Linked DNA regions of Pelodiscus sinensis. The protein of the gene in region 1 purifies or fractionates together with the protein of each later gene. This does not show direct contact. Links are inferred from orthologs where the notes say so. Each region holds a gene or a part of one and is shown on either strand. Other genes may lie near its edges.

Evidence for each region. The genes of interacting proteins can lie anywhere in the genome.
Region 2: the proteins of PPP1CC (region 1) and KIFBP purify together in Homo sapiens (affinity purification with mass spectrometry; 3 studies listed by BioGRID and IntAct, counting the BioPlex papers as one, with this or other methods). This does not show direct contact. The link is inferred for Pelodiscus sinensis from reciprocal best matches to the Homo sapiens genes PPP1CC and KIFBP.

The regions. Positions count from the first base shown.
Region 1 is NC_134725.1:34,180,703-34,188,240, reverse strand, and holds the start of PPP1CC (serine/threonine-protein phosphatase PP1-gamma catalytic subunit), read left to right. Parts: upstream 1-4,435; 5' UTR 4,436-4,564; coding exon 4,565-4,619; intron 4,620-7,538. UniProt on the Homo sapiens protein: Protein phosphatase that associates with over 200 regulatory proteins to form highly specific holoenzymes which dephosphorylate hundreds of biological targets.
Region 2 is NC_134718.1:28,668,095-28,675,171, reverse strand, and holds the start of KIFBP (KIF-binding protein), read right to left. Parts: upstream 3,056-7,077; 5' UTR 2,742-3,055; coding exon 2,379-2,741; intron 1-2,378. UniProt on the Homo sapiens protein: Activator of KIF1B plus-end-directed microtubule motor activity. Required for organization of axonal microtubules, and axonal outgrowth and maintenance during peripheral and central nervous system development.

The sequences.
Region 1 (7,538 bases):
AGGGTTTGGAGTGAGTGTCCAGGTTCTGGAAGGGGGTGGTGGTGAGGGAGGGTGAGAGAGGTGAAGGCTCTGGCTGGATGTATGTCGCTTACTTCAGGTGACTCCCTTATTTCCAAGAATGCTCCTCCTTGCCACGGCCCAACAATGTGCTCAGAAGCTGCCAAGCTATGGCCAGGTGGCTTTGTGCAGTGTGCACTGCCCCTTTCCATAGGCACCACGCCCACAGCTCCCATTGGCCGGCATTGCCAGTCAATGAGAGCTGCTGGAGCAGATGCATGCGGACTCATAGTTTCCATGGTCATCTGCCAGTAGGCCTCAGGGCCTTCCAACCAACCTGGCACCTTAGTTCCCCTCCACAGTGGTGCTCACAATTCCAGCCCAATGAGTGGGGGAGGAGGGGAGCTGAAATTCAGAACTTCCAGACCATGAAACAAAGACTTGCCATGGGCCAGATCAGATTAAGCAGGGACCCAGATCTGGCCCACAGACTGGAGGTATCCCATCCCTATATTATGATAAACATTCACTCCAGAGCTTAATTTTGAAGGTGCATTTGGTAACCAATGAATACCTGTAGTTACCTATGACCACTACTATCTATTTCCTCTCAACTGCTTCTTCATTGTTGGCTCTAAAATGTGCTGATATTGCATATTTCTTGCTTCATCACCATGATCAGCCTGAACTCTGCTCCGGCCCAACCACAATAATGAGTTGTTATGATTATTACATAACTGCTGTGTGAAGAATCCAGCATGCACAGTGGAAGCAATGTATTTTGGAGAGGGGAGGAGGGAACTGGGTTGGCACAGCCATCCCTGCAAATTAAACTCAGAGTAAATAAACCCATTAAACAATATTCAATCATAGCTGCAAAGCAATGAGCAATCCTAGTAAAGGTCACTACATCTCACTGCAAATGCAATTTAATTTGTTAGAAACTCTGCTGATTTGATTTGGACTTTGCCTAAAATGTGTTTCTACTACACATAGAATAAAATAACTTTAAATATTAATATAGTATTTTAATACAAATTTAAATGTTTTTTTATGTCTTCCTCCAGTAATTTCAAAGCATTTCACAAAAATCCTGCAAATACCTACAGGCACAGGGAGACTCTCCTGCACATTTACACCTTTGCAGAAGTGTTGGCATCATTAGGGCCATTATTGAATTAAGTTTCAGATCACCCGAGACAAAAACTTAAAAAAACAACAAATGGTCTGGTAGCACTTTATAGACTAACAAAACATGAAGATGGCATCATGAGCTTTTGTGGGCACAGCCTACTTCTTCAGATGACCGGAGTTTTGAGTTTAGAATGTACAGACCCAAAATAAATAGGGAAGAAGGGAGAAGGGAAAAAAGTGGAAGGGGCGGGAAACAAGAGCAGAGGGTATGTAAATATTAAAGGGAAAACCAAACAGGCAAAACTGACATAGTTCAGTGTGATTTAACCCATTTTACTAATGGAGGAACAGAAGCACCAATTGTGTCATGGAAGCCTCATGGCTAGGGCCCTACCAAAATTGGTGGTTTATTTTGGCCAATTTCATGGCCATAGGATTTTTTTAAATAGTAAATGTCATGATTTCAGCTATTTAAACATGAAATTTCATGGTATTCTAATTGTAGGGGTCTTGAACCTAAAAGGAGTTATGGGGTGGAGGGTCATAAGATTTTTGTAGGAGAAATTGCAGTACTGCTACCCTTACTTCTGCACGGCTGCTGTGAGTGGGAGGGGCAGGGAGATTAGCAAGGATCCTGGTGCCCACAGCAGGGGTCCAGCTCCACACACATTTGCCAGCACCAGTGGGGAAAGCAGAACAAAGCGGCCTCTGCTCTCTGAGGTCTCTTGATGCACCACTCCAGGAACAGTGGGCAGATCACCCCTGCTTTCACCTGTGAGAAGTGGCACGACATGGCCAGGGGAGCAAAATGAGCTGAGGCTGTGTTGTTCTGCTTCCCCCTCGGTCCCCCAGCCCTGCTCGTCCCCTAGGCTGCATCAGATGCAGGAAGATATCAGGAGAGAGGTGGAGCAAGGGCAGGAAGAGGCAGGACCTGAGATGGAGAGGGGCTGTACTGGCCCTTTCCTGGGCTGGGTGGATGTCACATGACCAGTGGCTCCTCAGGTCTTCCCTCTCCAGTTGCCTCTGTATGACAGGATGCTGCCTTCAGAGCTGGACACCCAGCTCACAGCTGCCATTCTCTGGTCACCTACCCAGCTGTGAAGGCAGCACAGAAGTAATGGTGGCAATACCATGATCCCCTCTAAAATAACCTTGAAAGCCCATAGTGGCTTTTGGGTCTAGACCAGGGGTGCCCAAACTTTTTTCAAAGAGGGCCAGATTTGATGAAGTGAACAAGCGTGAGGGCCGACCATTTTGCCTGACATTCTTTGAACCATTAAAATTAAATGCAAATTAACTATTTTATGCAAAGTTTATTGCAAACGGCATACTTTTCATTTCGTTACATGGATGACAAATCTAAACAGGTGTTAAATCACTCTGGCTTTCATATCTGAAGGCCAGATGAAAAAAAATCCAGGAAGCTGAAATATATGTCAGGAACATTGTAAAGTATATTACATATTATTGGTAATAAAGGTTGTCTGTCAACTTTTAAGTTCAAAAAATATGATCAGAAACATAACACCAAGTATACATGTTGTGTCCAAATATATTTATAACTGATTTAGACCAACTGACATTAACTGAGATTTTACAATGTATTCATCTCAATACATATGGATTCGTTGGGGGCCATAAAAGATAGATATTGCCAAATTACCTGTGGGGCCGTATGAAACCGGAACACGGGCCGCAATTGGCCCGCGGGCCGGACTTTGGACATGCCTGGTCTAGACTCTCAATTTGAGAAAATCTGGTCTCTGCTATGAAATCAGTACATTATAGAGTAAAAGTGACTTACGAAACGAGCATGGAACAATCCCAAACTGACATTGAAAACAAATATACTGATATATCATGCGTGAGTATCAAGCTTCTTGCTTTATGGATCTGAGACCTGGGCTACCTACTCGTGCCAAGAGAAAAAATTGATTAGTTTCCACCTTTGCTGCCTTTGCGGAATCATGAATATTAAGTGGCAAGACAAAGTTTCAGATGTAGATGACCTATCAAGACTTGGCATATCCAGTCTCATAGCGATCCTTAACAACAGAAGACTCTGATGGCTTGGCCATCATATATATAGTAGCCCAGTGTCTGTGCGTCTGTAACGCTGACGTACACAGCCACGCTCCCTGGCCGTGTATGTCAGCACCCTGCCCCCCTTTCCCTCCCTCCGTGGCGCGCTGCGCCACTCAGCTGGGTCCCGGCAGGGGAGCAAGCGGCAGCAAGCAGCCGTTTGGGGTCCGTGCTCTCATGGGGAACTCCGTGGGGAGCACAGACCCCAAACGGCCGCTTACCGCCACTTGCTCCCCCACCAGGGCACAGCTCCCAGCTGAGCGCACCAGGGAGGGAGGGGAAGGGGGCGGGGCTGGATGGAAGGGGGGCAGGAAGCAGAGCTGGGGGGGGATAGGGGGCTGTGGGGTTGAAGGAGAGGATGGGGGGGCGGAGGAAGGGGGGCGGGAAGCAGTGCTGGCAGGGGGTGGTGTCCGGGGGCCGTGGGGCTGGCCAGCAGGAAGAGGGGGTGGTAAGCAGAGCTGGGGAGGATTGGGGGCTGTGGGGCTGGACAGGAGGAGTGGGGGACGGAGGAAGGGGGGGGCAGGAAGCAAAGACCTGGCGAGGGTGGGTGCAGCCACTGGCCGCAGCCAGACTCCTTCTGGCTGTGCCCCCGGCAGGCAGACCAGAAGCTCCCAGTTTGGAGACGGCCACAATTGGCACTTGAAGCCTCTGGTCCTGTGCAATAGCTGGGAGGGGGGGCGTGACCACAGGGCTCCCAAAGCCAATTGTGCACCGCCTCTCAGTCACTCCCCCCGCCCCTGCCAGGCTTCCCTCCCGCACCCAGCCGGAAATTCACAAAATACTGGACATTGCACAACTCTGGTATTTTCTGATTTTTTTTCTACTGGACAGATGGTGCAAATACTAGAAGTGAGTCTGGCTCACAAAAGCTCATCACCTAATAAACCATCTTATTAGTCTTTAAAGTGCTGCACAGTCCTGTTTCATGGATTGTTATAGTTATGGGTTGTCCCTTATTCTCGATTGTACTGCTCACGCAGGGGGGATACTGGGCTTGCTCTGACTGACTGGGGCCAAGGCGCACGTGGAGGGAACCTGCGGCCGGCCCCCTCGAACACTCCATCGCTTTGCAACGGCGCGCGCACCTGCCGGCTTCCAAGCTATTCCCCTGCTCCCGCTCCCGCCCCCTCCCGGCGGAAGGATCTCGTGAGTGCTAGACGCTGGGTGAAGCGAACCCGCTCTTCCTAGCAAAGGTTCCGGCCGCCGCGCGGCGACCATTAAGTATTCGTGCGCCGGCCGAGCTTCTTGAGAAGGGACGGCGGCCATTTTGTTCGGCTTCGGGTGTCTGCTGCGAGGGGCCGGCCAGAGGCGGGAGATTCGGGTGCGGGCGCTGCGGTGCCGCTGGGAGGCCATGGCGGACATTGACAAGCTCAACATCGACAGCATCATCCAACGGCTGCTGGAGGGTGAGGAAGCGGGCGGGCCCGGGGGGGGGGGCGGTTCCAGGAGGGAAGCGCTCGGCTGCAGAGGGAGGCTCGCGGGGATGCCGGGGGGGGCGGCCCGGGCGGGGAGGGGGCCTGTGGCCTGAGCCCGCTGCTCGGCCCCCCTCGAGCAGCGTCCGCGGGGCTTTGCCGTGCCCCGGTGACCGGCCCTTCGCCTGCGTGGAGGTTCCCCGCACCGCGCCTGCCGGGCTGCAACGCCGCTGCCTCGGCTGGAGCTGCTGCCTGCAGCGGGTCCCCCCCCACCCGCGCGTGGCAACCGTAGGGCGATTGGGGGGGGGGTGAGGCAGCTACTTGTCCAGGGTCCTGTCTCCCGCTCCCTGCCGCGCACGTGCCGAGTGAAGGGACGCTTGGCTGTGCGTGGAAATGCAACTCCTCGAAAGGTCAGAGGCCGAGCATGTTGTGGGAGGCTTTAGAAAGATGGGGGGGAGGGGGAAGTGTCCTGCTTTTTGGCCCTTCAGGTGGGTCTCGTCTGTAATTGAGCCAGAGTAACTCGTTATCTGTGGGAATGCAGGTCTCGGTGGGTGTAAGAATAGGAGTTTTAGTTCATCCACACTCGTTTTTGACTTTTTTTTTTTTTAAGTGGAAGGGGGTGGTTTTGCTCTGAGGATAAGGTCCTTCTAAGCTTATGGAAAAGATTTGTCTTATTGTCTATCTGTAATGCTTTGGAGTGGGAGAGGATAGGTAGGTGCACTCAGTGTCTAGTCTTTTGTCATGGGGTTTTATTGTTTTTCTGTTTGGACGGAATCAGGTTAAAATAGTTTTATTGATCTTTGCAAATAGCCAATGACATTCTCCTTGGAGCAGGTAGCAAAATTAAATAAGAATAGGGTTTATCCAGCTTGTCTCAGGACCTTCTATGTACTCCGATGTCTCATCTGAATTTACCCTGGAAGAGCTTGTTCAGGATTTTTTTTCCCTCCCATTTAGCGCAAAGTAACCTAGGATTCTGCTGAACCAGATATTAGAGAAATGACTTTCATCTTTTTTTTTCCCTTGTAAGGTTTTTTGAACATATTGGATAATGAAAGGCCAGGAGAAAGTATCATCGTTATCCCTACAGAAATTAAGATTTACAAATCTAGTGGATTTGATTTGGGATTGTGCCAAATATATATGTACAGAGAGAGCATATTGTGTCTTGGTTTTTCCTCTTTGTGCTACTGTTTAGGTGTAAAATATATATACACCTAAACAGTTTATATATATATATAAATAAATAAAGGTTTGGATGTGTCTGCAATGGGATTGTTTCTCAGAAAACATTCAGAAAAGACAAAATCACCGGGAAAGTGAAAGGGACCTGCACTCTTCTCCCCCCTCCCCCAAACTGCCCAAGCCCCAGCCACCCCAGATACCCTTTAGAGAGGGCAGGGGGGGTTAACCCCCCCCCCCCCAAACTTGCACAGGAATATTGCTGGCTATTCCCCTTCCTCAGGGAGTGGGGAAAGTGCACAGTTTGCTGCATTGTTCACTCTGGCTGTGGAGTACAGGGGGGCAGACTAACCTGGACCTGCCCTAGCCAACTGGATATATACCCCTCTTCTGGCTGTGCCCGCTGGAGCAGTCATGAAGAGGTGCTTTTCATCTGACCCCCAAGCTGCTGCACTTCCTCTCCCCCCCCCCCCCCCATACACACACACACACACAGCCAGGGCAGTCTGCATACTGACTGCCTCGTTCCCAGCCCACCCAGAGCAGTGATTTAAATGAAGAAAAAACAAAAATTGACTTAAGGACTCAATTAACATTGGGTAAATCTTCTAGTATACTATATATGACTTGAGATTTTTTTTTTTAAGTTGGTTGGGAATGTGACAGCTGCCACCTTTAAATGCTACATAAATAGGACTTTAAAGGACTCACTAACAAGATACTCACAGGATGTCTGTCACTGTACTTAGAACTACAAATTAGCAGTAGTAACTAATGTGGCATTTAATTGATGCAAAAGCTTTTACAGTGAAATTTTACATAAAAATCCTCTTGAATTTCTTGATTTTAATTTGTTTGGGCAGGTATTTTCTAGCTTTAAATCATTTGATGCTAGTTAAACATCCTAACAACTGTTGTTCCTACTTCATGTGTTCCTCCCTTTTGTGTTTGAGAGATTGCAGTCAGTTGCTATATATAACTGAGTTTTGTTAGAGCCCTGTGTCATGAATATAGCTGTTTGTATTTTACTTCAATTTTTAAAAAAGGCTTACTTGCCTTCAAGTAAATAAGCATTAAATTGTGATTATGTAGCTTAATATATAAAATCCACTATACTATTTTTGTTTTACAACTAATCAATCCTTTTTCAAAACTTGGGAATACTGACATTCCCATTGACTATAGGTAACATTTTAAAAGTTCATATGCATCTGTTCATGTTTGCTAAAACGCATACAAAATGTCTGATCAGATTATTCAAATAGCTGAAATTCTCTTAAACTAGGTTTCATCCCGGAAGCCTCACCACCATTCTTTTTTCTTCCTCTCAGAAAATGTTTTTTTGGGTTTCTTTGAACAAGCCTGAGAAACTTAAGCCCAAATGATTTCTATTTATAACTCCTCTAAAAGGAGGCCTTATGTAAAGGTCCTCTTCGGCCATACTGCAACGATAGCACCATGACTAGGGTTAAATGTTGATTGATTAACTTCGAATGGGGGGTCCATAAGGGTGCTTCTGCCTTTGAAGTATAGAAGCAGCCCCACTTCAAAGGCAAAAGCCCTGTGGAGAGCTTGGGGTCAGCTGGGGACTCCCCTGCTGACCCTGGGCTCTATGCGGCACTGCCGCTTTGAAACATGACGAGGAGCCTGGGTCATGCTCCTTGTGGCATTTCAAAGCAGCAGTGCCACATGGAGCGTGAAATCAGCTGGGGCCTCCCCCCACTGACCCCT
Region 2 (7,077 bases), on another chromosome or scaffold:
CATAATCTGTTCTGTTCATGACAACTACAGTGCCCCCTTTGTCAGCCTCTTTGATTATGATGTTAGAATTGTTTGAGGCTGCGTATAGCATTGTGTTCTGCATGACTGAGGCTGTATGTTATAGTCAGCAAACAACAGCATGTGTCAGCAGTTTGAGCACGTTTGTGGAAGCAGTTGTTGTAGAAGTCAAGACTCTCATTACAACCGTTAGTAGGGGTCCACACAGAAGCCTTCCTCTTGTAGGATTGGCAGGGGAGAGCAGAAAGGTCAGTGTATTGTACATCAGTGTGTTGGAAATATTCCTTTAGGTGGAGGCAGTGAAAATAGACTTCCTGATCTCCACAGAACTGAATTATATTTGTAGGGGTGATGGGGCAGAAAGAGAGTCCTCAAGATAGCCCCGTGGAGGAATCTGTCCTAAGAGAGAGGTTGGATACGTTGACAATATTGCTAGGTGAACTGAAAGTATCTGGAATGAGAGATCTTGAAGCATGTAGGAGTTTGGATAGTTTATTGTCCTTTTTATTCCAAAGGGAGATGAAGTGATCCTTGTACGTGGTTTACTGAATTTTAGTAAAGTCTGGAAAACATGAAGTCTGTATGGAAGCTTGGTTTTCTAGGATAGTTTCTAATGTTGAGAGCTCCTCCTTGATTTTCTTCTGTCTGTTGAATAAAATGCTGATAAGGTGGTTCCTGAATTTCTTTGCAAGAGTGTGGCATAATCGCTAACTGTAGTCTGTGGGATATGTAGATTGCAGTGGGTTTTTCACCCTCAGTCCCTTAGGTACGATGTTCATCTGTTTGCACTTGGAAAGAAAGATGATGTCTGTTTGGATCTGTGAGAGTTTTTGTGTAGTTGATATATTTCCACTCGGTATGGCAGAATGCAGTACATTGCATGTTCAACCAAGTGGGTTGCCCCCACAAAAGCTCATACCATCTACATGTTTTGTTAATCTTTAAGGATATGTCTACACTTGCTCCCTAGTCCGAACTAGGGATGCAAATGTAGCATACCAAAGTTGCTAATGAAGCACGGGATTATCATATTCGCGTCCGGTAGCCATTTTAAAAATCCACTAGTCCGAATTAACTCACCATGTGTAGATGCGGTATTCTGAAGGAAACCCCTTCTTTCAGATTAACTGTTACTCCTTGTGCAATCTGAGGGAAAGGGTTTCCTTCGGAATACCGCATCTACACGCGGCGAGTTAATTTGGACTAGTGGATTTTTAAATTGGTGACCGAACGCGAATATGCCAATCAAGCGCAGGATATTTAAATCCCGCACTTCATTATTAACTTTGGTATGCTACATTTGCATCCCTAGTTCGGACTAGGGAGCAAGTGTAGAAATATCCTAAGGTATTACTAGTCTATTTGTTGTTTAAATTTTTCCTGTTACAGACTAACTCCGCTCCTCCTCTGAAACTTTTAAGATTCCAGTATTTCAATAACTCATATTCCCACTTACATCACCTTACCAATCACAAGTAAGATGTGCCACGGCCTGGCTAGGATTATGTTGTTATCCTGCCAAAGGTCAGGAACACCCCAAGTCTGCAAATGGGGATCGGGCCTAACCGATTCCAAATATTACCCTGTCCTAGAGTGACTGGAGATTCCCCCATCTGGAGATAAGCCAACATTAGGCTCAAACAAAATACAGGACTATGTAGCACTTTAAAGACTAACAAAATGGTTTATTAGATGATGAGCTTTCGTCTGGCCCACAAAAGCTCATCATCGAATAAACCATCTTGGGTGTGTCTAGACTACATGCCTCCTTCGACGGAGGCATGTAGATTAGCCAGATCGGAAGAGGGAAATGAAGCCGCGATTAAAATAATCGCGGCTTCATTTAAATTTAAATGGCTGCCCCGATCTGCCGATCAGCTGTTTGTCGGCAGATCGGGGGAGTCTGGACGCGATGCCCCGACAAAGAAGCCTTTCTTCATCGACACAGGTAAGCCTCGTGAAACCAGGCTTACCTGTGTCGATGAAGAAAGGCTTCTTTGTCGGGGCATCGCGTCCAGACTCCCCCGATCTGCCGACAAACAGCTGATCGGCAGATCGGGGCAGCCATTTAAATTTAAATGAAGCCGCGATTATTTTAATCGCGGCTTCATTTCCCTCTTCCGATCTGGCTAATCTACATGCCTCCGTCGAAGGAGGCATGTAGTCTAGACACACCCCTTGTTAGTCTTTGAAGTGCTACATAGTCCTGTATTTTGTTTCAGCTACATCACACTAACACGGCTACATCTCTATCACCATTAGGCTCAAGAGAGAAAATCACATCCTCAGGGCGCCCTCCCCTCCCGCTGTGGCAGCAGCTCGTCAATCAGGCGGGTTCCAGGGTGGCAGCCGCTCCCTACCTGGGCCTGGATGTAGAGGGAGACGCAGTCCCGGGAGAGGCGGTGGCGCTCCAGCAGCCGAGTGCACTTCAGCAGGTGCTCCTCGCCCGCAGAGAGCTCCTCGGTCTCGGTGTGGTTCACCCCCAGCTCGTACTCCACCACCGCCCGGCGCATGGCCCGCAGCGCCGCCGCCTCTCCCGCACGGGCGCCCTCGGCCGACTCCTCCGAGCCCAGCAGCTGCCGGATCTCCTCCAGCAGCTCCCGGGCGGCGTACTTGGAGCGATAGGGCTCGTTCTCCGGGTCCTTCTTGGACTCCACGCTGGAGAGGCTCAGCGAGCTGCGGAACTTCTCACAGAGCGAGGCCCAGCCGGCGGGGGCCGCCATCTTCCCGCCGCTCCCAGCGCAGACCGCAACTGCCACTCTCGCGCGCCGGCGCGGACACGTGACTGTCTCTCGCTGGGCAATCAGGGACGCTCACGGTGTCCGGTCTGACCTGTCACGGCGCGCGGCTAGTACCACGCCCCGCCCCCACTAGGAGGCGGCGCACGTTATCCGAGCTCCCCTCCCCCTAGCCGCGGAGCATGAGTCAGCGCCCGACCGCCACCCGCCTGAGGGGCAGCCTAGACCTGCATATGGTGATGACAATGCGCCGGCTCGTCACACTGCCACAACGGCAGCTCTGCGTAACGCACGCCCTCCCCGCACGAAGTGCGCTGCCTCACTTTCCCGCCTGCGACCCCTTTGAAGCTGGCTGAGCTGCCTTGGGTACCCCACGAAAAACCTAATTCCCGGCCAATGGGAGCAGCGGGGCAAGACTCCTCCCCCGCACTCCAACCTGGGCGGCGGGGGGTGGAGCGCTGGTGACGGCTCCCCACTGCGGAGGTGAGCCCCACGGCCCCCTGCAAGATGGGTTAGCAGACCACACCTTGAGACCCACTGCCCTAAGGAATCATTTTGTCATTTGCAGCTTAGCACTGAATGTCTCCACTTACTGCCAACAGAAGGCTCTGGTAGCCGCTAGGTCCGTGTTTCTTAAACTTTTTAAGACCAGCAGTTTTGTCCGATGCCGTGGTGAGCTGCACCCCTGACTCCTCAGTCTCTGGAGAGTGCACTCTTGCAAGTGAGAAGTGTTGTGCCTTCACTCCTCCCAGGGTGAAATCCCATAATACTCCCCCTAACAGGACAGGAAATTCATCCACCCTATGAATGGCAGGTAGGTTTCTAGGGGAACCTGGTTGGTTTTCTGTCAGCTCACCTGTCAGGCTGCTGGAGAGCCTGGGTTTCCAGAGGAATAAGTTGGGGGCAGCCAGCTACTCCATGTGGTTTTTGGAGGGAGCGTGGTGGTAGGGAGTTGAACTGATAAAAGAAAGTTCTTCTTTACACAGCGTGTAGTCAACCTGTGGAACTCCTTGCCAGAGGAGGCTGTGAAGGCTAGGACTATAACAGAGTTTAAAGAGAAGCTAGATAATTTCATGGAGGTTAGGTCCATAAAGGGCTATTAGCCAGGGGATAAAATGGTGTCCTTGGCCTCTGTTTGTCAGAGGCTGGAGAGAGATGGCAGAAGACAAATCGCTTGATCGTGTCTTCGGTCCACCCTCTCTGGGGCACGTGGTGCTGGCCACTGTCAGCAGACAGGATACTGGGCTAGAAGGACCTTTGGTCTGACCCAGTACGGCCGTTCTTATGTTCTTATGTAACTGGAACAGTACGATCTTCCCAAAATGAAAAATTTTGGAGTTTCCTTTTTGAGAGAAATGTGTTTTCATTTTCTTGCCTGCAGGCCACCTCCCCTGCCCCAAGCTAAGGACATTGTCCCAACATTTCCTGACATAATGCATTACTGGCTTATCCAATGCCAGTGTCTCAGACACTGCTTGTGTCTGCCTGCCAGCACTGCCCTGCTGCAAACCCAAGAACCTTGCTGAAAAATTTGGGTCTTGTCTATAAGGCTGTGTCTACATTGGCACCCTTTTCCGGAAATGCTTAAAACGGAACAGTTTTCCGTTATAAGTATTTCCGGGAAAAGAGCGTCTACATTGGCAGGATGCTTTTCCGGAAAAGCACTTTTTCCGGAAAAGCGTCCGTGGCAAATGTAGACGCGCTTTTCCGGAAAAAAGCCCCGATCGTCATTTTCGCAATCTGGGCTTTTTTGCGGAAAAGACTACTGTGCTGTCTACATTGGCCCTTTTCCGGAATAGTTTTTCTGGAAAAGGACTTTTGCCCGAACGGGAGCAGCATAGTTTTTCCAGAAAATCACTGACAATTTTACAGTAGATCGTCATTGCTTTTCCGGAAAAGCAAGCGGCCAGTGTAGACAGCTTTCAAGTTATTCCAGAAAAGCGGCTGCTTTTCCGGAATAAGTGGCCCAGTGTGTAGACAGCCTAAGACTTTGGACATAGTGTGCTAGAGACAACTACACCCACCTATAGGCATCGCTCATGCCTCTGGCTGGAAGACTGGGGCCATGTGCCAGGTTAGCACTGTATGGGCTGCATCTGAAGTGGGGACATCTTTTAGACACTCTTTCACCCTATCTGAGAAATGGAGGCTCACAGAAAAGCAACAAAGAATCATAGAATCATAGAATACTAGGACTGGAAAGGACCTTGAGGGGTCATCGAGTCCAGTCCCCTGCCCTCATGGCAGGACCAAGTACTGTCTAGAAGACCATCCCTGATAGACATTTATCTAACCTACTCTTAAATATCTCCAGAGATGGAGATTCCACAACCTCCCTGGGCAATTTATTCCAGTGTTTGACCACCCTGACAGTTAGGAACTTTTTCCTAATGTCCAAGCTAAACTTCCCTTGCTGCAGTTTAAGCCCATTGTTTCTTGTTTTATCCTCAGAGGCCAAGATGAACAAGTTTTCTCCTTCCTCCTTATGACACCCTTTTAGATACCTGAAATCTGCTATCATATTCCCCCCTCAATCTTCTCTTTTCTAAACTAAACAAATCCAAATTTTTCAGCCTTCCTTCACAGGTCATGTTCACTAGACCTTTAATGATTCTTGTTGCTCTTCCCTGGACCCTCTCCAATTTCTCCATATCTTTCTTGAAATGCGGTGCCCAGAACTGGACACAGTACTCCAACTGAAGCCTAACTAGTGCAGAGTGGAGTGAAAGAATGACTTCTCGTGTCTTGCTCACAACACACCTGTTAATGCATCCCAGAATCATGTTTGCTTTTTTTGCAACAGCATCACACTGCTGACTCATATTCAGCTTGTGGGTCCACTATAACCCCTAGATCCCTTTCTGCAGTACTCCTTTCTGGACAGTCGCTTCCCATTCTGTATGTGTGAAACTGATTGTTCCTTCCTAAGTGGAGCACTTTGCATTTGTCTTTATTAAACTTCATCCTGTTTACCTCAGACCATTTCTCCAATTTGTCCAGATCATTTTGAATTATAACTCTATCCTCCAGATTAGTCGCAACCCCTCACAGGTTGGTATCATCTGCAAACTTAATAAGCGTACTTTTTATGACAATATCTAAATCATTGATGAAGATATTGAAGAGAGCCGGTCCCAAAACAGACCCCTGCGTAACCCCACTTGTTATACCTTTCCAGCAGGATTGTGAACCATTAATAACTACTCTCTGGCTGCGTCTAGACTGACATGATTTTGCGGAAATACTTTTAACGGAAAAGTTTTTCCGTTAAAAGTGTTTCCACAAAAGAGCATTTAGGTTGGCACGGATGCTTTTGTGCAAAAAGTGCTTTTGCGCAAAAGCGTCCGTGCCCAGTATAGACGCGCTTTTGTGCAAGAATGCTCCGGTGGCCATTTTAGCCATCGGGCTTTCTTGCGCAAAAAATGAAGATGCCTGTCTACACTGGCCCTCTTGCGCAATTATTCTTGCACAAGAGGGCTTATCCCTGAGCGGGAGCGTCAAAGTATTTGTGCCAGAAGCACTGAATTCTAACATTAGAACCTCAGTGCTCTTGTGCAAATTCTCGCGGCCAGTGTAGACAGGTGGCAAGTTTTTGCACAAAAGCGAATGCGTTTGCACAAAATCTTGCCAGTCAAGACGCACCCTCTGAGTATGGTTATCCAGCCAGTTATGCACCCACCTTATAGTAGCCTCATCTAAGTTGCATTTGCCTAGTTTGATAAGAATATCATGTGAGACCATATCAAATGCCTTACTAAAGTCTAGGTATACCACATCCACTGCTTCTCCCTTATCCACAAGATTCGTTATCCTATCAAAGAAAGCTATCAGATTGGTTTGACATGATTTGTTCTTGTTTTTTCCTCTTTGATTTACATAGAAGTTATGTTGTCAGTAGGACACGTGTGTGTGTTCCTTTGACCAGTGAGAGAAAATGGACCCAGGTATTCTTGACCACCCTGATCTCAAGTTGATTTGGAGGGATAACTGTGAATTACCATTTGCCATGTGTCGTAAGGTCATTTACATGTACACCCCACTGGTAAGTGATGTTAGTGGTGAGAAGTAACAACAGAAAAGTTTATAAAAAGTTGGCAAACATTTGCTGGATTTTGCCACCAGTTTAGGGAGTTTTAAACCATCATGGGCAGTGACACAGATTTGTCTAGTGTCTCTGTGTTTGGTCTCCATACCACATTTCACCTCTGCGCTGGCTGTCATATGCCCCAAGAATTGGAGGCAGGGTCTATCTGATATACGGGGACTCTTGTACTGTCTGTATTAGCACGACCAATGAAAGGAACCTGTGGGGAGTAGAAGA